Pelodiscus sinensis: one gene and its partner. The protein of the gene in region 1 purifies or fractionates together with the protein of each later gene. This does not show direct contact. Links are inferred from orthologs where the notes say so. Each region holds a gene or a part of one and is shown on either strand. Other genes may lie near its edges.

Evidence for each region.
Region 2: the proteins of calpain-2 catalytic subunit (region 1) and AFG2B purify together in Homo sapiens (co-immunoprecipitation; 3 studies listed by BioGRID and IntAct, with this or other methods). This does not show direct contact. The link is inferred for Pelodiscus sinensis from reciprocal best matches to the Homo sapiens genes CAPN2 and AFG2B.

What each region holds. Positions count from the first base shown.
Region 1 is NC_134713.1:155,229,769-155,242,276, forward strand, and holds the start of calpain-2 catalytic subunit, read left to right. Parts: upstream 1-6,696; 5' UTR 6,697-6,825; coding exon 6,826-7,062; intron 7,063-12,508. UniProt on the Homo sapiens protein: Calcium-regulated non-lysosomal thiol-protease which catalyzes limited proteolysis of substrates involved in cytoskeletal remodeling and signal transduction. Proteolytically cleaves MYOC at 'Arg-226'.
Region 2 is NC_134724.1:21,258,694-21,270,998, forward strand, and holds the start of AFG2B (ATPase family gene 2 protein homolog B), read right to left. Parts: upstream 5,757-12,305; 5' UTR 5,270-5,756; coding exon 4,193-5,269; intron 1,167-4,192; coding exon 981-1,166; intron 1-980. UniProt on the Homo sapiens protein: ATP-dependent chaperone part of the 55LCC heterohexameric ATPase complex which is chromatin-associated and promotes replisome proteostasis to maintain replication fork progression and genome stability.

The DNA of each region.
Region 1 (12,508 bases):
AGCCTCATTTGCATACCTAATGAGCTGCTGTTTTTACAGAAGAGGCTCTTGTGCCAGGAGCTGTCTACACTGCCCCTTCTTGCGCAAGAAAAACCCTCTTGTGCAATGCTGCTATGCCAATTATTTTCAGGAATAATGGCATTGTGCAAGAAGGGGCAGTGTAGACAGCTCCTTCTGGCACAAGAGCCTCTTCTGCAAAAATGGTGGCTCATTAGGTATGCAAATGAGGCTCAGCGATATTCCACACGTAGCCTCATTTGCATATTTCTCGCACAAGAAGCCGTGAGTGTAGACTTAGCCTAATTGTGTGGAAGGCTGGACTGGGGTGAAGACACTGTACTAAACTGTAGGACAGCTGGGTTCAACATCCCATGCTGATGGCCATGCCTGCCCGTGTGACACAGCAGCTGCTCAGCTCCTCTGAAAAGCACAGCAAACCAACCCTGTGAGCACGGCCCCCACAGAGCCCCCAGGCTGCTCCCTGCCCCTCTGCTGCCCCCCCCTGAAAGGAAACCCCCCACTGTGGCCACACACTTCCCTGGGATACCTGTACGAGGGCTGGGGGGAAGGGGAAGCAGGGAAGCGAGCAGCCCAGGTGTCTGGGCCACTGAGTCTTGATGCAGGGGCAGTACACTCCTCAGTAGCCCTGGCTGTATTTCTGAAGAAATCAATGACAGTAGTCCGAGAACCCAGACGTTGTCTGCCACACTTGCTCCCATGCAATGTGAGGATGTGTATGCAAACATGACTACAGAACACAAGAATGGCCATACTGGGTCAGACCAAAGGTCCATCCAGCCCAGTACCCTGTCTGCAGATAGTGGCTAATACCAGGTGTTCAGAGGGAGTGAATCGAACAGGTAACGATCAAGCGATCTCTCTCCTGCCATCCATCTCCACCCTCTGACAAACAGAGGCTGAGGGCACCATTCCTTACCCATACTGACTAATAGCCATTTATGGACTTAACCTCCATGAATTTATCTAGTTCTCTTTTAAACCCTGTTATAGTCCTAGCCTTCACAGCCTCCTTAGGCAAGGGGTTCCACAGATTGACTATGTGCTGCGTGAAGAAGAACTTCCTTTTATTTGTTTTAAACCTGCTGCCTATTAATTTCATTTGGTGGCCCCTAGTTCTTATATTATGGAACAAGTAAAGAACTTTTCCTTATTCACTTTCTCCACACCTCTCATGATGTAAATACCTCTATCATATCCCCCCTTAGTCTCCTCTTTTCCAAGCTGAAAAGTCCCAGTCTCTTTAATATCTCCTCATATGGGACCCATTTCAAACCCCTAATCATTTTAGTTGCCCTTCTCTGAACCTTTCCTAATGCCAGTATGTCTTTCTTGAGATGAGGAGACCACATCTGTACACAGTATTCCAGATGTGGGCATACCATGGATTTATATAAGGGCAATAAGATATTCTCCATCTTATTTTCTGTCCCTTTTTTAATGATTCCTAACATTGTTTGCTTTTTTGACTGCCGCTGCACACTGCATGGATGTCTTCAGAGAACTAGCCACGATGACTCCAAGATCTCTTTCCTGATTAGTTGTAGCTAAATTAGCCCCCATCATATTATATGTATATGGGGTTATTTTTCCCCAATGTGCATTACTTTACATTTATCCACATTACATTTCATTTGCCACTTTGTTGCCCAGTCATTTAGTTTGGTGAGATCTTTGAAGTTCTTCACAGTCTGCTTTGGTCTTAACTACCATGAGCAGTTTAGTATCATCTGCAAACTTTGCCACCTCAGTATCAACAGTGTATGCTCACAGACAGTGACAAGAGTAGAAGCCATGTGCTTTACCTTGGGGGGGGGGGGGGAGTGTACACAGTGCAGGCAGACGGATACAGCATGCCAAGTGGCTAGGACACAGACAAAGGTCTCAATTCACAGTGATGTCTCCCAAGGGTTACAATCCATGGAGGATCACTTCACTCCCCCAGGATTTTGAGCTAATCTGTGTGAACACACACACAGGGAACCGATGGGCTTGTGGTGTGGTGTAACGTGAGGCTCATGGAAGGGGGCCTGGGGCTCAGGGACACTGTGGGCAGGGATGACTGACTGCCTCTCTGTTTTCTGCGTTCTCTGCAGCGGAACCAGCGGGGAGCGAGGGATCCTCCAGCCCTGCGGTGGTGGCACCAACGACCCAGGCACCAGTCCGGCAAGCCAGGCAGTGCGATCTGCTCCTCCCGTGTCACATCCAGGCTGTGGAGCGGATGGGGGACACGGTTAGCAGCAAGCTGCGGGCTGACATGGAGTGGTGGCAGCCAGAGGCGTAGTGAGGGTGTTATGCACCTGGGGGCAAAGGAAAAATTTGCACCCCTTCCCCCCTGCCGCCATGTGACACAGCCTTGAACCTGGTGCACAGCTGAGGGGAACTTGTACTGCATCTTCCCATGAGCAGAATGAATTTTGTGTTGTGCACCAGTACTGAGTTCATGGGGCTTGTTTGGATGTGCCATTGTGGAACCCAAGTTATTAATAAATATTTTATAAACCTTTACTTTTTCTCTCTGCTGCCATGTCTCCTCCCCTTGCTCCATCAGCTCCCCTGGTGCCTGCTGCCCCTCAGCTCCTCACCCTCCTCTGCTGTCCTGACTCCTGCTCTTCTCACTGCCCTCCGCCCTCCTGTGACCTGCCCCCCTCCACCAGCCCTTCACTCCCCCCTGTGCCCACTCCTCCAGTAGCCCCACTCTGATCATGTGAGCTACCGCTCCTCATTCCCTCTCCTAACACCTCCCTCTACACACCTGCCCTGCTTCTCTGCTCTGGTGCTGGTCCCTCCCCTGCAGGTGTCTGCCCTTCTGCTTCACCCCCAGAATCCCCTGGCACCTGCACTTTCCCTTAGCCCTGCATCCTCCTGGTGCCTCCCCCTTTCCTCATTGCCCCTGCCTCCTTTGCCCTCTTTTTCCCTGATGCCCACCCCCTCACCACTCTCTGCCCCCATTGCCCTCATGCCCCTCTGTGCCCTCACAGATGCCTTGCTCCATCCCCACCTTTCACATGCCCACCCCTTCTTTTAAGCCTTCTCCCAGCACCTCCCCCTCCGGCCCCCAATGCCCTTACCCTCTCCTCTCCCAGCATCACCCTGTCCCCCCTCCCACTGGCACCTCCTCTCCTGCCCTTTTCCTATTTGTCTCCACTTGGCCCCCTGGCATTTGTCTCTCCTCCAGGCTGTCCCTTGGTGCCTTCCTCTCCCAGCTCCTCCCCCTCCACACAAGCCTCTTATTCTCCCACCCCTTCCTCTTTCCGTCCCCTTCCCCCTGCGCACAAGCCCCTTCCTCTCCCTCCCCCTCCGCACAAGCCCCTTCCTCTCCCACCCCATCCACCTCCCCTTCCGCACAAGCCCCTTCCTCTCCCGGCCCTTCCCCCTAGTTTTCCCCCTTCCCTGCCCTGCCCAGTGCCCCCCTAGCGTGGCGCCCAGGGGCAATTCCCCCCATGCCCTCCCTTTGCTACGCCTCTGGTGGCAGCAGGCGTTGGGCCAGTTCCTCCAACACTGCGATCTCATGTGTGACACCATCTCCACCCTCATGTCGCACATCAGCCATGCTGTGCACTCTGGCATGGCCTGGCACCCATCCTGCCTACTTCCCTGTGATGCCTGCCCCAACCCGGCCTGAAGGACGCCGAAGCCTTTGTACCCGCAGAGGCACTGGCAAGAGCTGCCCCTCCCAGCAAGAACTCCCCTCCCAGTTGAGAGTCCCATCCTCCTCCCCCTCCCAATTGGGAGTCCCCTCCCACTGCCCACCCAGCAGTCTGAAGGTGCACCCCACTTGGTTGCGGGCCCGGTTCAGGTATTGGTTGAATGTTTCCTGGCAAGGGTCCATGTGTCCAGTGTATGGCTGCATCAGCCACAGCATGAGAGGGTAGGCCGTGTCCCCCACAATGCACAGTGGCATGTGGACGTCCCCAACCGTCAATTCCTGCTGGGGGAAGAAAGTGCCCGCTTCCATCCTGCAAAATAGGCTAGAGTTTCGGAGGATGCAGGCATCATGTACCCTACCCAACCACCCCACATAGATGTCCATGAAGTGGGCACGATGGTCCACAAGGGCCTGGAGCACCATTGAAAAGTACCCCTTCCGATTGATGAAGTGGGCTGCTCAATGCTCCAGTGCCCGGATGGGAAGCCCATTCATGGCTTCCCCGCAGTTTGAGAACTCCAGGGCAGTGAAGCCAGTCATGGTTGCGTCCACGTCCCGCAGGCGGATGACCCTCTTGAGGAGGATGTCATTGATGGCTCAGACACCCTGCAGAAGGGCACACAGGGAACACACAAGAATGGGGCAGGGTGGGTGTATAAGCCCTTGGGGGGGTGCCTGCCCTCCTGTGATGCCCTCTCCCCACCAAACACGCTAGGGCCCCCTTGCCCCGGAGCCTCATCCACACACACCAGACAGGCCTATGTGAGGGAGGAACGGCACAAGCCCCTGGGGGTGACAGGGCTTCCCCCATACCCTCCCAGGCTCCCACAGCCTGGAGTCTTCCCTTCCCCTGGGCAGGGACTGCAGCCCCCCCGAGGGCCTTACCTGCATCAAGACGGCACCCACTGTGGACCTGCCCACCCCGAACTGGTGTGCCGCTGAGTGGTAGCTGTCTGGGGTGACGAGCTTCCACATGACGATGGCGACCCTCTTGTTCATAGGGATGGTGGGCCGCAGCAGGGTGTTGCCTATGAGGAGCGCAGAGGTGAGCCAGCCACACAATTCCAGGAACATCTACTTCCGCATCCTGAAGTTGTGGAGTCACTGCTAGTCATCACATTGCTCCAGGACCAGCCGGTCCCACCAGTCGGAACTGGTGTCGAGTCTCCAGTATCGCCTCTCCACAGTGCGGAAGGGATGCCACAGTGAAGCCGCCACATCCAGGGAGAGGGAGTCCAGAGTGAGCTCGGCATTGAGCTTGTGCAGGAGTAGTGAGGCAGCATAGAGCAGCAGCTGCAGGCACTCCAAAATGACAGTGTGGGGCCAGAGCAGGCACAGGGCCATCCCTGGCTCCATGGCACAGCAAGAAGGCAAAAGTCCCCAAAAGCACTAGCGCACAAGCTGTGGTGTCCAAAGAGGAAGAGGGCAACCACAACAGGAACTGCTACAGCTTTCAATCCCTACCAGGAGTCCCAAAGCATGCAGCAGCAGAGAAACAGCTGTCCAGGGAGATTGCTTTAAGCACATGTCTCAGAGGAGCTCCAGCCTCCGCCCCCAGAAGGTCCCGGTGCCCTTTTGCCCTGTCTGAAGTGGTTCCGGGAGGGAGGTCTTTGCCCAAGAGCGTCCCACCAATGTGGTCGCTCTCTTGTGCAAAAGCGCTTTGCTATTGTGATGCGCTTTGACCACTGTGGACGCACTCTTGTGCAAGAACTTTTGCACAAAACAGTTCTTCTGCAAGAAGCCTGCAGTATAGACATAACCCTAATGTTAAGTTTGCTCCTTTTCCTGGGTATTTTGTACAGCATCAATAGCAAATGTTTCAAGATTTAAGGAACCCCTCAAAATGTAATGTGTTAACAGGAAAGGTGACAATAATCCCCTTAAATTCCAGAGGCTCCCAAAGCATGTGACAAAACATAAGCAGCACAGTTTCCATCACTTTCAAACACAGCACAGCCACTTTTGGAATGGAGGAGCTAAAGAGGAAATGAAATAAATACAAGCTTTATAGTCAGGACAGGTGGTACATGTGTCCCCTTTAGTTTAAGTGATAGAGGCCAGGGTGTGAGTTTTATTCCTGTTGATAACCCAGGCCAGACACCAAGACAAAGTGATAGCCCAGATAGGATTTTGACTCCTGGGCTGCGTTTAGATTGGCAAGTTTTTCCGCAAAAGCAGCTGCTTTTACGGAAAAACTTGCCAGCTGTCTACACTGTCCACTTGAATTTCCGCAAGAACACTGATGATCTCATGTAAGATTGTCAGTGTTCTTGTGGAAATACTATGCTGCTCCCGTTCGGGCAAAAGCCTTCTTGCGTAAATGCTTTTGTGCAAGAGGGCCAGTGTAGACAACACGGTATTGTTTTGCACAAAAAAGCCCCAATCGCGAAAATGGCGATCAGGGCTTTCTTGCACAAAACCGCGTCTAGATTGGCACGGATGCTTTTCCGCAAAAAGTGCTTTTGCGGAAAAGCGTCCGTGCCAATCTAGACACTCTTTTCCGCAAATGCTTTTAACGGAAAAACTCTTCCGTTAAAAACATTTGCGGAAAATCATGCCAGTCTAGATATAGCCCTGGGCTACGTCTACACTGGCCCCTTTTCCGGAAGGGGCATGTAAATTTCACTAGTCGTCGTAGGGAAATCCGCGGGGGATTTAAATATCCCCCGCGGCATTTAAATAAAAATGTCCGCCGCTTTTTTCCGGCTTTTAAAAAAGCCGGAAAAGAGCGTCTAGACTGGCCCCGATCCTCCGGAAAAAGCGCCCTTTTCCGGAGGCTCTTATTCCTACTTCAAAGTAGGTTTTGACCAGGTTTTGCCGACTTCTGATAGGGTGAGGAGGCTGTTCACTACAACGGACAAGTGTAAAGGACACTTGCTTGAGGGGGGACTAGGTAGTGGCCAGGCACATCCCAGCCAGGAGGATCCCACCTTAGAAAACAGGCAAGATGTGGGGGTGCGGGTGGTGCTGCAGCTCGCCCTGTGCATCTCTGCCCTACGGACACTAGGAGGAGGCTGCAGCTTTAAGCACGAGCCACACCCAATTTTTGCAGCAGTTCCCCCACGGATGATTCACCAGCCGGTCTGGCTGCTGTTTACTTCAGGTTCCCCACGTCCCCGCCGAGCAGGGGCAGCGCGCTCGCCGCGGCAGAGGCGACCATGTCAGGGATGGCAGCGAAGTTGGCGAAGGAGCGGGAAACAGCCCGGGGCTTGGGCTCCAACGCGAAGGCGTTTAAATACCTCAGCCAGGACTTCGAGGCGCTGCGGGACGAGTGCCTGCAGGCTGGCGCGCTCTTCCAGGACCCCGCCTTCCCCGCCGTCCCCTCTTCCCTGGGCTACCAGGAGCTGGGGCCCACCTCGTACAAAACTCAGGGCATCACGTGGAAGAGACCAACGGTAGGGGCGCGACCGGCCGGGGGTGAGGGAGGAGGGACAGAGAAGCAGGGGATTGGTGTGAAGGGCAGAGCAGAGCTGAGCGTGTTTGGCTGGTGGGAAGGCTGCGGTGATGGGGGGGCTCCTGTCCCCCCTCCCCCATACCAAGGGGGAATGTTGGTGGCAGGGAGATGCCTATAAATAACAGCTGGACTTTTCCGTGCACAACGACAGCTGCAGAGGAGCCCAGCCTCCTCATCGTAACCCCTGACCCCTGAATCTTAGGAGCCAGGTGTGTGTGGGTTGTGGGGGAGGGACACCTGCTTTGCGTTTTGCATTCGGGCCTTCTCTTTACTAACGAGCCAAACCTAGCCTCTGGGCTGGGACCACCCCAACGTGGCTGGGGATCGGTAGCAGAAGGCTCTACTTTTGTCTTGAGCCGGCTGCAAGAGATGAAATGACACCGGACTAGGTTATAGCAAAAATGCTGCTCTTAACCGGAGAGGGGGAAGTTGCATGAATTACAGAGCCCCAGGCTGCGAAGTCGAGGAGGAAGAACGTACTTTTCCCAAGCTCAGCACACAGAGCAGCGAAAGCTTGTCTGTTGCCTGAAAACCTCCCCCCCCCCCCCCCCCCCCGAAGAATGCACCTTACTGACTCCTACTCAATAGGAGCAGCCTGCTAAAGGACCAAGGGAGGCACCTCTGAGATGCATGGGGCAGTCCCTCGGCCAGGACCTAAGAGTGCAGATGCACTAATGGCTCAGCGATGTGTAATGGGAAAGTTAAAAAAGTGCTAATTCTGTTTGGATTTATTTAAACTTCTCTGGGCTAGAAAAGTAGCTAAAAAGTTTATGGAAACTATGGAAATGTCTGGGCTTGCAGTGCTGATGCTTATTAATAAACATGAAGGTTAAGTCTCTGAATTTCACAGATTCACTTCAAGGACCTCTTATTTATATTGCTGTAGGGCAGGAGTGTCCCCACAGAAGTCAGGGGAGCTATGTTGATAAAAACTTGGGTCCTGATCTTCCTCCTGCAGCTATTTAATGTTTATTCCAGATACCTTGCTCTTGGCTCATCTTGAGTTCAACACAGTAACTGTGTTTACTTTAAAGACAGGAGTCAGTATTTGAAGCCACCCAGGCAATGACTGGTTTTCCGTGCAAAACTCGATGAAGGGCAAGACTCAATAATCCTCATTCACATTCTATTGCCCTCCCACAATGTGGTCAGTTGAAAACAGCTTTTTTTAAATATGTAATAGTGCCAGGAGGCTGTTCTCTGCTGTGAGTTAACTCATTTGTTTGCATTCCCAAAATACATAACTAATTCAGCATGGTTTGTTCATATTGAACAGGTGTAAACAGGTATGAATTCATGTCCCAGCTCCTACACTGTCCCCACCCTCAGATCCACTCCCCTCTACAGCTACACAGGTCTCTGGTGAAATATACTTGTCAAGTTTGAGAGGTATTGCAAGGACTGTATCTCCATTACCATCTATTCTTTTTCCTTCTTTTCAGCCAACTAATGTTGCTTGCTCCGTTCTTCGTTTTACCAGTCACTGAGAGAGTCTTTCTTGCTTCAGTTTCCCTATTTGCACCCTTCCCCCTAGACTTTCTAGATCCCCTTCTTTCTACCCTGATTGATACAGGGAGGTTATATTTTCCTACCAGCTGTGCAGCATCCCTTATCACTTTGTTTATTGCCTACCTTTTGCAGGGGTACAGAGGAATAAAGTTGGTCAAAATACTCAGAATTTTGCACCTTTTGCAAAGGGCCACATTCATCCTTGGTGTAGTAGGAGCTACATTATGGAGGAATTTGGCTGAAAATGGCCCCAAAAGAGCATTGAAACTGCTCCAAGAACAAATGGAAAAATCCTTCAGGGCTAAGAGCCAAACAACTAAAGCCCAATCAATATGCTTTCCTATGAAGGGGCTGGCCGCAAAGGCCTCTGTTTACTCAGGAACCACTCTGGACAGTGGTGCCACTTCAGATTTGGAGGAGGTGGCAACTTTAACTGCGATTTCAGGGGATACTAAGGCACTTCAAAACATTTAATTTTTGGCAGATAGCTTGCAATTTGCTGACAGGAGCACTGTATCTTTTTATCTCTCTCTGTGTGTGTGTGTGTGTGTGTGTGTGTGTGTGTGTGTGTGTGTGTATATATATATATATATATATATATATATATATATATATATATATATAGGGAGAGACCGACCGACCCCTGTTCATTCAAGAACTCTTCCTAAACAGTAAGACCTAGGACCACCAAATTTGATATGTGGCTTCCTTTTGTCATAGCTTAAAGGAAGTTCTGGGTTTGTTTGCCCCAGGGAAATGTGACGTGCCTGGAATGGGACTGTTTTCCATGACATGGAAAGGGAGGGGGCTGATTATAGGAGACTTTTATTTAAAGTGAGCACTGTGGGCAGCAAGCACAGGAGAGAGCTATAATGCAGAGTGAATGGGGAGGCAGCGGAGTGGCCACCTGGGCCATATGACTGGCCACCAGAGCACATAAATGCCCCCTGCCCCCAAACAGTGCTACCAAGGGAGGGGCATCTATGCACACCAGCCCTGCTGTCTCTGCGCCCATCAGGGACCAAACCTGAGAACGCGGCCCATCCCCAGAAATGTTGCAAGTTGGAGGGGCACTGGATGCCAGGCTGGCCTCCAGAACCCTGCCTTCCCTGACCAGTTGCAGGTTGGGGGGGGGGGAGAAGCTGGAGATTGGGGCCAGCCCCCAAAGCCTCACCCTCCTTGGACCAACTGCAGGATGGAGGAGGCAGCTGGAGGCCAGTGCCAGCCACCGGAGCACTAGGCCCATGCCCCTTGCACAATCTGGAGGCTAAAGCTGGCCCTCCAGTTTTGGCCCCCCAGGAGGAGCCACCATCCAGAGAGTGCACCCCCTGACCCAACTTCAGATTCCCCAAGCCCCTACCCTGACTTCTGCACCCCCACTTCCTGCTCTGAGCCTCCCCATACTGAACCCTCACTCTGCCCTCACTCCATCACCATCTGCCCTGAGCCCCTAACACCTGCCAGCCCCCTGCTTTCATTCCAGAACCTCCTGCTCTGAGCCCTCCATCCCCCACACCTCCAAGGCTCTTCCTTTAACCCAGCACTCCCACTCCCTGCCCTCAGTCCCTGAACCCCTGCATGCCTGCCCCCCCACACCTCCCAGCCCCCTGCCTGAGCACCCACATGCCTCCCAGCCCCCTGTTCTGAACAATCATTTAAATAAATAAAGCATGTACATTTTCTTTTTAATTTAAAAAAAGAAAACCAAACCTACTACCCTTAAGGACCCAAGCAACACCAGGTACATATACAAGTTCCTATTATAAAAGAGAAAATTAAATATTAGACCCAGTCAGCTCTAATAATAACATTTTCTGATATCTTGTGGAAGTCACTTAAGGGATATTGGTTCGGTTTAATATTTTAATGTGTATTTACTTTGTTACTAACTGTGCCGAGAGAGAGCTCGAGCTCCTGTCAGGATTCCTGGGTTCTATATCTGCTCTGGGAAGGGAGTGGTTTCTAGTGGTTTACAGCAGATGTATGTACAGCTGGGTTCTTTATAAGAATGGCCATACTGAGTCAGACCAAAGTTCCATCTAGCCCAGTGTCCTGTCTTTAGAAGGTGGCCAGTGCTAAGTGTTTTAGAGGGAATGGACAATAGGTAATCATCAAGTGAATCATTCCCAGTTGTCCATTCTCCTCTACTGGCAAACAAAGGCTAGGAACGTGCAGAGTGTGGTGTTGGATCCCTACTTGTTCTACCAATTGGTGGACCTGTCCTCCAAGAATGTATCTACCGTAAAATCTCGAGTATGATGCACACTTTTTTCCAGTTTTTTAGGGTCAAAGCCAGGGTGCGCATTATACATAAGAGCTATTTTTTTTAAAGTTTTAACTCTCGCTCCCCTCCACACAGAAACTTTCCTGCTGCAGTGTGGCGCGGGGGCCACAGCCCTGCCAGGATTCCAGACAAGGCAAGGAGCCAGCTGCAGCGCCCTGGCTCACTGCCTTCCCGGTGGTCCTTCAGGCTGTGCCAGGGGACCCCCGCAGCAGACACAAGCTCAGCGCGATGCGAGCTCAGCTGGGCAGGGGGACCCCGCGGCAGGTGTGAGCGCAGCGCGGCATGAGCTCAGCTGGGCAGGGGGACCCCACAGCAGGTGAAGCAAGGAGCCGGTGGCGCTGCTAGGCTGCATAGCCCTGGTTCGCTCCCTGCCTGGTCTCAGCATGGGGAGCTAAGCAGGGGGCTCCCATGGCAGGCGTGAGCTCAGCTGGACAGGGGGCCCCGTGGCAGGCGCAAGCCCCTTCCTTCCTATATATACCGTAAAATCGCGAGTATAATGGGGGTGCACATTATAGATAAGAGTTCAGTTTATTCTAGAATTCTGACGTTTAAAAGATAGGTGTGCATTATACTCGCGATTTTACGGTAATTCTTATTGGAACCTTGGTATAGTTTTGGGCTTCACAACATCCCCTGGCAAACAGTTCCACAGGTTGACTGTGAAGAAATAATTTCTTTTGCTTGATTTTTAAATCTGCTGCCTATTAATTTCCTTGGATGACTCTGAAGCTTGTGTTATATGAAGGAGTAAAGCCTCATTCAATTTTTCCATGTAACTCTTGATTTTTATAGACCACCTATCGTATTCTCCCCCTTTCCTCTTGTCACCTCTTTTCCAAGCTGAAAAGTTCCAGGTTTTTTAATCTTTAGTCATACAGAAGGTGTTCTATGCCCCTAATAATTTACCTGTCTCTGTACCTTTTCCAAATCCAATATTTCCTTTTTGAGATGAGGTGACCAGATCTTCACACAGTATTCAAATGTAGACATACCATGGATTTATAGAGAGGTGATATCAGGCTTATTAGCTATCCCTTTCGTAATTAATTCCAACATTCTGATAGCTTTTTTTGATTGAGCAGATATTTTTCAGAGAACCACAATGACTCCAATATCTCTTTAATGTTGGGTTCAGTTAATTTAGACACCCCCTCTCCTCACCTCCACCCATCATTTTGTATGGATAATCAGGATTACATTTTGCCATGTGCATTACTTTGCATTTATCCATGTGGAATTTCATTCATTACTGTGTTGCCTGGTCACCCAGTTTTGTGAGATCCCTTTGCAGCTCTTTGCTGTCAGCTTTGGACTTAACTATTTTGAGTAATTTTTTATCACCTGCAAACTTTGCCACCTTTCTGCATATCCCTTTTTCTAGCTCATTTTCATTTATGAATATATTGAACAGCACTGCTCCCAGTACAGAGCCCAGGTCACACCACTATTTAACTCATTCTATTTTCACTATTTATTTCTACTTTTGTTTCTTATCTTTTAACTGGACTGTCTGCAATTGCTTTCAGGATCATCCTAAGGATCCTTAAAGCACTTCAGTGGCAGGCCTTTTGTTACCCTAATCACACTACCTCTG
Region 2 (12,305 bases), on another chromosome or scaffold:
TTTTCAGGTAAGGAAACTAATTACTCAGGCTGTCCTTATTTTCTCTCTCTGTCTTGACTTCCACCCCACTCTGCCTCGCTGAACAAAGGAACATTTGAAGGCTTTTCAAGTCTTTCTCCTAGCTAGCCGTCGAAGGGGTGTGTGTGGAAGTAACAAACAATGCTTCCTTGAGATCTATATCTGCATCATCCCAGAAATATTACTCCTGTGCCATGGGGAACTGTAAGGGCTCATCTACACAGCAGTGGTATTTCAGAATAATGTTATTCTGAAATAACATTGTCAAAATAATTGCATGTGGTATAGACATGGACTATATCAAAATAACGTCCAACTGGAAGACTTCTTACTCCAATTCCTATAACCCTAATTTTATGTGGAGTAAGGGAAGTTGGAGGAAGAGTGCTCTCTCTCACACTTCCTGCTGTGTAGACACTGCCAAAAGCTGAAATAAGCTATTTTGTCTTAAACTATGGAATTGATGTTGCTCAAGTTGCGTAGCTTATTTTGGCTTTAGCCCTGCTGTGTGGACGTGCCCTAACTGTTCTCTTTTGGCCAGTATATTCATGTTATATTAGATTAGTAAAATAAGTCAGTATTTGTGCAAACCACAAACTACTACATAGTTCGCCTTATTAAGAAACAGAATTTTATATAAGTTGACTGTAGCTGATAAAAAGTTCATCTTAAGTGGAAAAAAACATATAGCATTTGCTCTTCAATTAAGAACTTATGTTCCCAGCCTTGTACAACACTAAATAGCTTATGGAGAGAATACAGATATTCTACATTGACTTTTCACTCAACTTAAGGCATGGCTTGAAAGACTATAGGAAAGCTTATAATTACATCTATAATGCTTGCTTGCTTGTTTTGAATATTCTCACGTACCTAATTTATCATCATATATATTAAAATAGAGTGGGGAAAAGTGATAAATATAAATAATGATATCTTTCTGGTTTAAACTGACTCCTTACCAAACAGCTGCGCAGGACAGCTTGCATAGCAGCTTCTCTGCAGAGTGCTGTAAGATCAGCTCCAACATATCCAGTTGTCATTTCTGCTAGGTTAATCAAATCAACATCAGTGGAAATAGGCATATTAGAAGTAATCAGCTGTAGAATAGATCTTCTCTGTTTAAGTGTTGGCGTTCCAATGATAATCTAAAACAAATACCATAAATGGAAATTTATCAGTGTTTTGCTATTCCTCTCTCATCTCTGCAGACCTAGACAAGTCACTTATATTGTTCGTATCTTGGACTCCCTTGCATCAATTCTCCTCCTTTTACACTGTTTGACAAGGGACTAATTAATAGCTCTATAATCCTTTGAAGATATAATGAACTGTATCAGTACTTTTCATTTACACATACATTTTAATTTGAACAAATGCATGTTTTATAAAGAATGCCACTTAGTGTTTAAAGATTAATCAATGGGAGATTTAATAGTGAAATAATAATTTCTTTGGAACATAAGAACACAGGAGGCTAGTGACAACATACTTTTCTATTTTAAAAAACTGTACAGGCCACAAGTCAAATAGAAAAAAACCCCATGGAGAATGATTACTTTAAACTCTGTAATACATGGACCAAAGAAAACATGACTGTACAAAAATGTAATTCAGTAGCACAAAAAAGGACCAATAGGTGTATATGAATAAAATAAAAATGCGTAGAGAATGTGCATAAATTACTGAAAATCTGCTAAAATTTAACCAAAATTGTGTATTTCATTAAATGCTGCAAAATCCTTAAAATTTAGATAAGCGTGAATGTAGTTCAGCATAATTTATCTAATTTGAAGGATCTGGGATAACGCTTGTGAATGACACATTTTAGGCCATCATCCTGGAACAGACCCTTGCATCGAGATTGTTGCAGGTTCAAAGTTTTAGAGAGTGCATGGATAAACAATAAAGGAAACAAGGATGCATCATTTTGCTAAATGTATTTTTTGTCAATTTATTTTGACAACTGTAAGTTAGCATTTGATGTTTGAGATAAGACACAATCAAAGATGGTATATTTTGTAAAAATAATGAAGCGAGTACCTTAACTAAAATGGGGCTCTGGCTATAGAACTCTGCTATTAAATCGTTCATAAAAGTGACAAGTGTCAATTGTGTGTGCGAATTAGTATGATTCTATCTGTTCTTAGATTTTAGAACTACCTCTATTAGACATGAATATCATCAATTTATGCACAATCCAAAAAGTCCCTACAACCATGGTATCCAACACGCTAGCCACATGTGGCTATTTGGCCAGTGAGTGTGGCCAGTTCGGTATAGCTATAGACACTATACTGGCTGCTGCTTCAGAACTGGTTGGAGACCATAGCCCTAACAATGTACTACTTTTCATTTTTAGATGTAGTTTTAGTGCTTGTGAATGGTGCCCCACTGAAATAATTTGATTTTGTCTATCTTAATACATTATTGATAATACAGTCTGCTATTTCTACCAGCAGCTCAGCTCATTTTTTAGGCCAGGCCTATCCTCGAAAAATTTTGCTGGTGTAACTCCAAGCATAGATACACCTTATATTGGCCATTAATTGCATTTGAAGTAAAATTTATACCTGTTCAACAACCAAAATGATGAATACCAGCAAAAGTACTTTTATGCTGCATATCTGCATATCCAGTAGATTATGATCAATCAGTCTAACATCTTGTGTAACACAAACTTCTTACAGGACTTCCCTGAACCAATTCATATTTGAACTGAAGCAGCTCATTTGGACCAATCTTGTTCAAAACATTTTCTGTGATAGGAAGGGACATGGTGGATTTTCCTAACTTGTGCCAATGGTTACTTACCCTCACTGTTAAAAATGTATGCAGCATTTCCATTTGAAAGTCAGTTTCCAAACACCCTTGTCTACTAGACTGAAGATTTTGTTTGCCATGTAGAAACTTGTGTATGGAAATCACTCCTTAGCCTGCTCTTTGTTAAGCTAAATAGATTGAATTTTTGGACTGTATCACTGTAAGGAAGGGTGGAGAATCTATAGCCCACGAGTGGCTCCATCCCCCAGCTTAATTTCATCTTGCCAGTGACAAGTCTCTGAACTGCAGGCCAGAAGCCCAGGCCCCTCCTGCAGGGCTGGAGCATGGAGTCACCCATTTAAGCAAGAGGTGTTTTTTTTCTTTTCTACCTTGACAGCAGGTGACCAGTGAGGGGTTTGTTTGTTTGTTTGTTTTTTGGCTTTTCACTTGGGAGCAGGCAAGTAGTGAGGTTTTGGGTTTTTTTGCTTTTGTGGCTCCCCCAATTGATTTTTTTTTGTGGGTAAGTGGTCCCAGACAGAAAAAAAGATTCCCTGTCCTATTCTAACACATTTTTCAAATTCTTTAATCATTCTGTCAGCTCTTTTCTGAACCACTTCCAAATTATTAACACCTTTCTTGAATTGTGGACACTAAAACTTCAGTATTCCACCAGTAGTTGCAAGAGTGCCAAATATAGAAATAAATTCCCTATTAACTCAGTATTCCTGTTTATACAATGAAGTATGGCATTAATGCTTTTGGCCAGTGTCACACTAGACACCTCTGTTCAGCTGATTATTAACCATAGCCCCTAAGTCTTTTTCAGCCACTGCTTCCCAAGATAGAATCCCTCCCCCTATAAATATGGCCCATGTTCTTTATTCCTATTTTTTGTTTGGGTACATTAATAAAAACACACATTGCTTGTGCATCTTACCTGTGACCTAGAGCAATTATTTATTCTCCCAAACAGTGTGTCTGCTGCAGACTATATCAGTGATTGTGAACCCCTAACCCTTCCATTTATAGGTTTCATAATGTAATTGTCAGTTAGCCCATTTAATGTGCAACAATTCTGAATCATTCCAGTTTTTAATCAACATAGTATGGTTCAGTTAATGCCCTACATTAGTGTAAGTACAGATTTAATACATGTGCTTTTTAATCAACAATGTAAAAACCAAGAAGGGGAAAAAACCCTACAAGCCTAACTATAAAGTAGCAAAAAGGTAACTTTTCCTTCTCCTTTGTGGGTCACTGATCTAACCATAAGACATAGGGCATCAAATCTGATCACCGAATGTGACATTGCAGAACACCATCACTAGGCCCTGAATTGATTTTTCAATAGAAAAATGACAAATGGTATTGAAGTGTCAGAAACTAATCAAGAAGAACAGACTTTTCTCACCTCTTGGTCAAATCTACCATGTCTCCTCAGTGCAGAATCTAAGGCATCGGGCCTGTTTGTTGCTGCCATAACAACCATCTCATTTTCACTGCCTATGCCATCCATAAGTGTTAACAATTGAGCAACAATGCGATTTTCAGGGATGCTGTTCGAACTTCCCCGTTTAGGGCACAAAGAGTCAATTTCATCAATAAAGAGAATGGTTGGTCCTTCGCAGGACAATTCCCTGCCTTGTTCAAAAACTCTTCGCAAATTTTCTTCACTTTCTCCAGGCCTTGAGCCATATATAGCTGGACCACTGATGCAAAGTAAATATGCTCCCACTTCCCTTGCAACTGCCTTTACAAGAAGAGTCTTCCCCACACCTGGAGGGCCCACCAACAGTACTCCACTAAGGACAGAGATACCCAACTTCTTGAAGGTTTTGGGGAAATGGAAAGGCAAAACAATTCTCTCCTTCAAAGAGCTGCCCAAATCATCCATTCCTGCAACTGAAATTTTTGTGGTATCATTTGACAAGTGTCTGTACCATTCTAAAGTGACCACTTCTTTAACATTTATATTAGTTTTGGGGGTTATCAGGCCAGCTTGTTCTGTAAATGGATCTACAGACAGTATTTCAACACACACCACTGGATTTCCAGGAATTGGGGCAGCAGTAACAACATGGTGAAGAGAAACATACACATTTCTCAGCAGCTCTTTCACTATCTCCTGCAGTGTTGCTTGTGGGGTGGCCTTTTTCAAGGCAAGATTCCTAAGTACCACTTTCACTATTACTTTTCTCAGCGGGTGACAGGCCAAAAGCTTCAAGTGGCTGACACTCAGTGTGAGACTTTTCAACTTGCTTGCAGTTAAACCTGAAGTTCTGCATTTCAGATCTAGCTGCAGGTAGCCATCAGTCACATCATGCCTGGGCCAAGCAGTGCACAAACAGCAGCCACCAGGAACCGTGATCTTGACTGGGGCCCCGAGCCTGGCTCCCAGAGAGGACAGAGTGGCGGGTCCCATCCTGCATCTCTGCGTGCCTTCGTCTCCCGGATCCAAGGGGAGCAGCTGTAGGCGAGCAGCCGCCATAGCCGGTATTACTGCGGGTGATGGCAAAGCACATGCAAAGGGAGCCCCTGGCAAGCGCAGAGGGCCGGGTTCGCCCACGTCACATACAGGGGAACCCCCAGACAAGCACTGGCAGCTCGCTGCCCCCCCACCGACCCTTCCCCGCGCCTTACAACCCCGGGAGGGAGGGAGGGATGCCCCCCTCCGTTACAGAAGCGCTGGGTGGCTTCTCGAGTACCCCAGAGACCCGGGCACGGGGCAGGAGCTAGGTCCGGGGCAGCCGGAGACGAGCGGCTGAGCAGGTTTCTCGCAGCGAGGAGACGCTGCCGGCGCGCGGTCCCGCCAGCGGGGACCAAGCAGGCGCTCCCCGCCTCAGTAGAAAGCGTCCTTCCTTCCGCCCGGCTACTGAGCATGCGTACTGTCAGCCGAGCCTACGTCACCGTCTCCTGCTCGGCCACGCCCTCGAGCTAGGAGGGAGGAATGCGTGAGGGGCCGTTCATCGTTCCCGCCGTCTGGGCTCCCTCAGTTACTGCTGAGTTAAGGCTGTTAACGGAAGGTCTCTTTCCCTTTCGCTCTCCTATTGGCCAGCGAGGGACCTTCTCCCCGCCCCCAACACGAGCTCTCCCCCCCTAGCACGCTTGTGCTGGTCCGCCCCCTTGCCGTGAGAGACTCCGCCCAGGGGCTGCCTGTCTCCCAGCCCCGCCGACCCACTTCCCTCCAGGCCTCGTCTCCAGCCGCCGCTATGGGCGGTCTCCCGTGCGTAAAGAGCGGAGGTGAAAGTAAGCGGGCGTGCCCTCTGCAGAATTGCCTGAGCTGCGGCAGAAGCCAGCGGGGAGCTAGTTAAAGAGCTGGCAGGGACCCCCACTGCAATGCCTGTAAGAAATGTTAAGTTATTTTCACCACTGCCAAAGAAAACCCTGTGCTGGGTGAGAATCGCCTCCTGTGCCTCCGTCCCCTTCCAATAGTCTCTAGGGCTAGAACAGGCTTGTAGCCCTTAGGGGGGCCACGTTGTGTCTCAATCGTACCCCCTTGGGTTAAACCTCACTCCCTGCCAGTGCCCATCAGTCTGTCCTTCTGCACCGTGGACGGTGGGCAGGGTATGCTCAAGCTCTGTTTCTGGGGTAGAGCAGCAGTTAAAACTCCTGCTTCAGGGAAGTGGGAAGCCAGAAGGATGTCATCCAGTTCCTTGGTAGGGGAAAATAGCATGCATGTCATAATCAGTTCAGCAATTAATAATGCGAAGCACGTGGAATGTGTATCAAAGAGAAGAATACATTCCTGACTAGGAAATAACTGTTTAGTTAGGGAATGAATTGATTCTCTAGCTTTGTGCCCTACCAATTATTCATTTTTATTCAGAGGTCTTATGAACACGTATCCGAGCTTGGTAAAATGGCCTACTCTGAGAGTTTAGGTAGAATGTAGCCGCATTAGGTCGAACTTCTGACCAAGGGTGGCGAACCTTTTTTAGGTCCCGGGCCGCTGACCCACAGAAAAATCACTTTGCACACAAGTGAAAAGAAAAAAATATCCAAACCCCCCACAGATGTGGTCCTTAACTGAGAAGGAGAAAGACACTTCCCACATTTCCTTCACACGCCAGAGTCTGGGGGAAGCCCAGACTAGTAGATTTTGTGTGTTCCAGCCCCTTGTGGGGCGATGGGTTCCCCAAAGCTGGGATGGAGCCCTGAGCATCAGAGGCCCGATCCATGCAAACTGGGGGCTATATCCAGCCCACAGGCCTGATGTTCCTCACGCCTGTTCTAAACAATGAGTCTACACCACCAAGCCAGTTCAATCGACTTTAGGGGTTTTCAAAGGCAATTTTAGTATTCCTACTTTTCATGAGGAGTAATGGTAAATTAGACCTTCAATAGTCAACTTTACAGTAATACAAACAAAGTGCTGTGGAAGTCAAAGTTATTAGCTTCTGGGAGGTATGCCACAGTGCTCCGCAATGACTGATCCGGCCACTTCCAACTCTACTGCTCTCCAGGTGAACAGAAAAGGCCCTGGGAAAATTTGAATTTCACTTCCTGTGTGGCCAGCGCAAGCAGACCACAGAGTAAGCAGTATACATGACCATGAGTTTTCAGGGTCACAGATGCACACCAGCATGGAGCATGCAAGAAATCCTGGACCTCATTCCTAGCTGGAGAGAGAAACTTGTTTTTGCAGAATTATGAACCAGCACAAGGAATGCAGAAATCTATGCCAAGATTGCAAATGGCATGGAGGAGAAAGGATACGACAGGCATGCTCAGCAGTGCTGCATACAAATAAGGCGCTGAGGTGGTTGTACTAGAAGACAAGGAGGCAAATGGACAGTCTGGATCATTGCCACAAACATGCTGCTTCTATGAGCAGCAGCATGTGATCCTAGGGGAGATCCTACCAGCTTCATCCAGTCCATGGATTCCTCCCAAGACACTGGTAGCCACAGGTAGCAGTTTGGCGAACAATGTGGATGAGGAAGAGGAGGTGGAGGAGAATGTTCCAGCATGTGAGCAGGGTAACTGATGTCACCAATACCTAGGTCTTTGGAGTTAATCGCTGCCTCCCAGGACATCTTACAGCCAGGCACTGATCCTGGAGAGGGCACTTCTGGTGAGTTCACATTTTTCATCATGCTACAAGTGGGTTAAAGCATTTGGGTGTGATCTGTGCCACCTAATTTGCCCACACAGTGGTGGATTCCCTAGAACAACTTGTTAACGTGACTGGAAATGCAGTGGGAATCCTCCCTGAACATCTCCAGGAAGCTCTCATAGAGGAACTCTTTAATCTTTCCCACAAGTTTTCCAGGGAGGCAAGCCTTATTCCATCCTCCATGGTAGGACACCTTTCCATGCCAAGCCAGCAGTAAGTGGCCTGGCATTATTGCATCACAAAGCATTGCAGACTAAGGTCCAGGTTTCTGGCCACAATCAGTCAGCATCTGCTCCCTATCACTCTGTGAGATATTTGAATACTGATATTTTGCATGGCAATCTGAATAAACCAGAAAAGCTATTAGCCAATATCTCTGAAGTAAACCTCTGTTTGCTCAGGCATGAGCCCCTGTCTTTCCCTGCTTCCATGCCCTCTTACCTCCTGCCTTCATGGTCCCATAGGAAGGAAAGTTGCAGTTTCCTGGCAAATGGGGTGCCAAACACCTGGGCACCGTGTGAGCTTCTGCCCTACCACTATGCCTGGACCTCTTTCCCCCACCTGCCCGTATGTTCCCGTGGATAGGGAAGTTGAACTTTCCTGGCAAACGGGGTGCCAAAGACACAGGCCCCGCCACCACCCTCAGACTTTCTCCTTCCCACAGTCTCAAGCTTTGGCCTGCTGCCAAACTGAGTCTAGCTGCTTCCCTAAGAACTCGGTGGTGTACCTGCTGCATGGTGGCTGCTTAAAAGCATAACTGTGGCCTTGTACATAATATAGAATCATAGAATACTAGGACTGGAAGGGACCTCGAGAGGTCATCAAGTCCAGTCCCCTGCCCTCATGGCAGGACCAAATACTGTCTAGACCAGGGGTCTCCAAACTTTTCAGCCCGAGGGCCGCATTAACTATCAAACAGCAGTTCGGGGGCCGACTACACACTTGAGGTCCAAATAAAAAACAATCAAAACATGGATATTGTTTTTAATTATTTATTTAATATTATTTTATTCAGTTATTATTTAATAACACATTGATACACTACACATGAACACCTGTATTAGTGTGAATGGTGAAATTGTTTCCTGGATGCCAAAATAGCAGACATTTCTGGCTTTAGATTTGTTGTCCCTAACATCAACAGTGACCTGAGATTATCATCGGACAAGTTTGTTCTCAAATTGTTCTTCACATATTTCATTCTTGAAAATGTTTGTTCACACAGGTATGTTGTTCCAAAGATTGAAAGGTACCTTGATGCAAAAGTTTTGACATTAGGAAAGTCTTCCTTGGGCAAAAACTGGTAAAAACCCACTAGTCCTATTTTGAACTTGTCCCTAAGGAGGTCATTTGCTTGCAACTCAATGACTTCCAGCTGCAGTTCATCTGGGCAACTGGCCACATCTGCTTCAAATGGGTTTTGAAACAATCTCACTTCTTCTGCCTTTGAATCCAAGTCAGAAAACCGCTGCTGAAACTGCAGCTGGAGGTCTTTGATGATCTCGCATGCAAATGACGTGGGGAACTCAGCTGTTGCTTCAGCCATGAAGACCTTGCACTGCTGAAAGTGCGTCAAGTTGTTGGCCTGTACTTGTTCCAAAAACAAGACAAGTTTGGATCTGAAGGCCTTTAGGTGGGTGTATAGATCAGAAACTAGATTTTGCTCTCCTTGTAGTTTTAGGTTCAGAAAATTTAAATGACTAGTTATGTCTGCAGCAAAAGCCAATTTCCATACCCACTCTTCATCAGACAGTAATGGCTGTGGCTTGCCTTTACTTTCCAGGAAGTCACCTATTTCCTTTCTTAACTTAAATACTCTGCTCAGAACTTTCTCACAACTTAGCCATCTTACTGCTGTGTAATATGGTAAATCTTGCGATTCTGTGTCTGTATCTTCCAACATGTCTCTGAACTGTCTATGGTTGAGCCCATGTGACCTTATTAAATTCACCATCTTCACCACAGGATTCAGTACACTGCTAATGTCCACATATTTAGCACACAAAGCTTGCTGGTGAATAATACAGTGCAGGAACATTGGTTGTATAATGTTTTTGTCATTACACATCTGCTTCACTTGTCCAACCAAGCCTTTCTTTATGCCACTCATGTTCTTTCCTCCATCAACAGTCAGGCAACTGAGGTTAGTCCAGTCCGAGTTATAATCAGCAAATGTTTTTTTCAACTCATTGAATATATCCTCTCCGGTAACAGTGCCATACATGCTATGTAGGGAAGCCAGCTCTTGTGTTATGTTCATGTCTTCATCCACACCTCTAATGAACACAAGCAGTTGAGAGGTGGAGCAGCTGTCCAGCGATTCATCCATTGCAATTGAAAAATGGCAAAACTTGCTTGCATTTTTCGCTATTTGAGTCACAATGTTTTCACCCATGTCTGCAACACGGCGGGCAATGGTATTCGCACCCAAAGCTACATTTTCAAATTGTTTTGACTTTTCTGGGCAAAGTTCCTCAGCCACTTCCAACAAACATTCCTTCACTACTTCACCATCTGTAAAGGGTTTGCCACTTTTAGCCAGGACGTAGGCAACTTTATAACTGGCCTTAGTTAAGGATTCATTTTCATTTGAGGATTTACTGAACAATGTCCTCTGAGATGTGAGTTGATTTTGTAATTTAGAAAATTTTTCGGCACGGACTTTACCCTTCAACTGTACATATTTCTCCTGATGTTTGCTTTGATGATGATGGCGCAGGTTGTATTCTTTCATCACAGCCACGGTTTCATTGCAAATCACACACAATGTTTCTCGCCGGATTTGATGAAGAAGTATTTCAAACTCCATTCTTCTTGAAATTGCCGACACTCATCGTCTATTTTTCTTTTCCTCTTCTCGGCCATCGCTGGGCACTAAAATAAAGTGAATTCAACATGAATAAATAATGAAACTGAAAGTATCTTGCACACAATATCGCTCAAAAAACCTGATTATGCGAACTAATTTTGTCGCAATAATAGCTGCAAATGACCCGAAACAATTTTTAAAAATTCTTATGATTTCTTAAGTTAAACTTACCTGAATATAGTGTGCAAATATATCCACTTATGGTAGAGAGATTGTTGCTTTTAATGTTTCCTCTTCAGAATATTCGCCTGCGAATCCGTTTCTCCCGGAAGGGGGGGGGCTTTTCCCCCTGCTCTCCCCTTCCTCTGCACGCTGTCCTCCCCTCCTGCTTGCCACCGCTCACTCCTTCCCCCCCCCCGGGCGGAAGGGGTCACCTTTTTAAAGTTCCCGCCGGGGTTCACGTTCCCCCGCACGTCGCCGGGCGGGCGTTACCACCACCGCCCATCCTGCCCCCTGATTGGCCGGCTGCCCTGTCAGTCTGGGCGGGGGAACGCCGCCCGTGCTAACCCCCGCCCCCTGCGCCGTTTGCCGCCGCGCGGCCGCTTGTCAGCGGAGCGGCCCGCTTCTCCTGCCCCTGCGCGGCGTGAGTACACGCCGCACACCCCTGACAGGGCCCCCCCCCCCGCGGCAAGAAGGGCCCGTTCGGCGGCACCCCAGGGACGGGCGGGGGTCGCCTCGTCACACCGGCACGCGGAAGAAGGCGGGGCCAGACAAAAAGGTCTCCACGGGCCGGATGAGAGGGCCTCGCGGGCCGCATCCGGCCCGCGGGCCGTAGTTTGGAGACCCCTGGTCTAGACCATCCCTGATAGACATTTATCTAACCTATTCTTAAATATATATCCCTAATGTTGTTCCTTTTTTTGCTAATAGATTAGGTTTTATGCTCCACAATTTATCTTCTGTAAAGTCTGCTCTTCACTTTTCGTTACATTGGGAACAGCAGTGAGCATGCTGCACACTCTCCTGGCTCTGCTAGCTGTTGGGCTGGCACAGATGTCAGGCATAAATGGAGTGGGAATGACATGTTCAAGGAGCAAATGCTGTCCTCGCACTTGGACAGGGAATGTTTAAGCAAGTGGAGTAGAATGCTGTTGCTGGAGATGACAGCGGAGTATGAAAACAGGAGAGTGTGCAGGAAATTGGAAGAGAAGATCTAGGAGAAAGTCTTGAAGACCATTGTGGAAGTGATGAATTGTATGACAGCTTTCCACGGCAGCTTCATGCACCGGCACCCCTTCTAGGCCTTGAAGAACCACATTCCTTCCTCACCAAGGTCCCAGGAGCAGGAGTCAAAAGTATCCTCACACTCATCCTGATCAGAAGTCTATCCTCATAATTGTGACCCCCTCCAAAGCTCCCAGCATGAGCTCTTTTTCTGTCTCTGCTGTGTTCCCTAAATCATAGACTCTTAGAATACCATAACTGGAAGGGACCTCGAGAGGTCATCAAGTCCAGTCCCCTGCCCTCACAGCAGGACCAAACACAATCTAGATCATCCCTGACAGATGTCTAGCTAACCTGCTCTTAAATGTCTCCAAT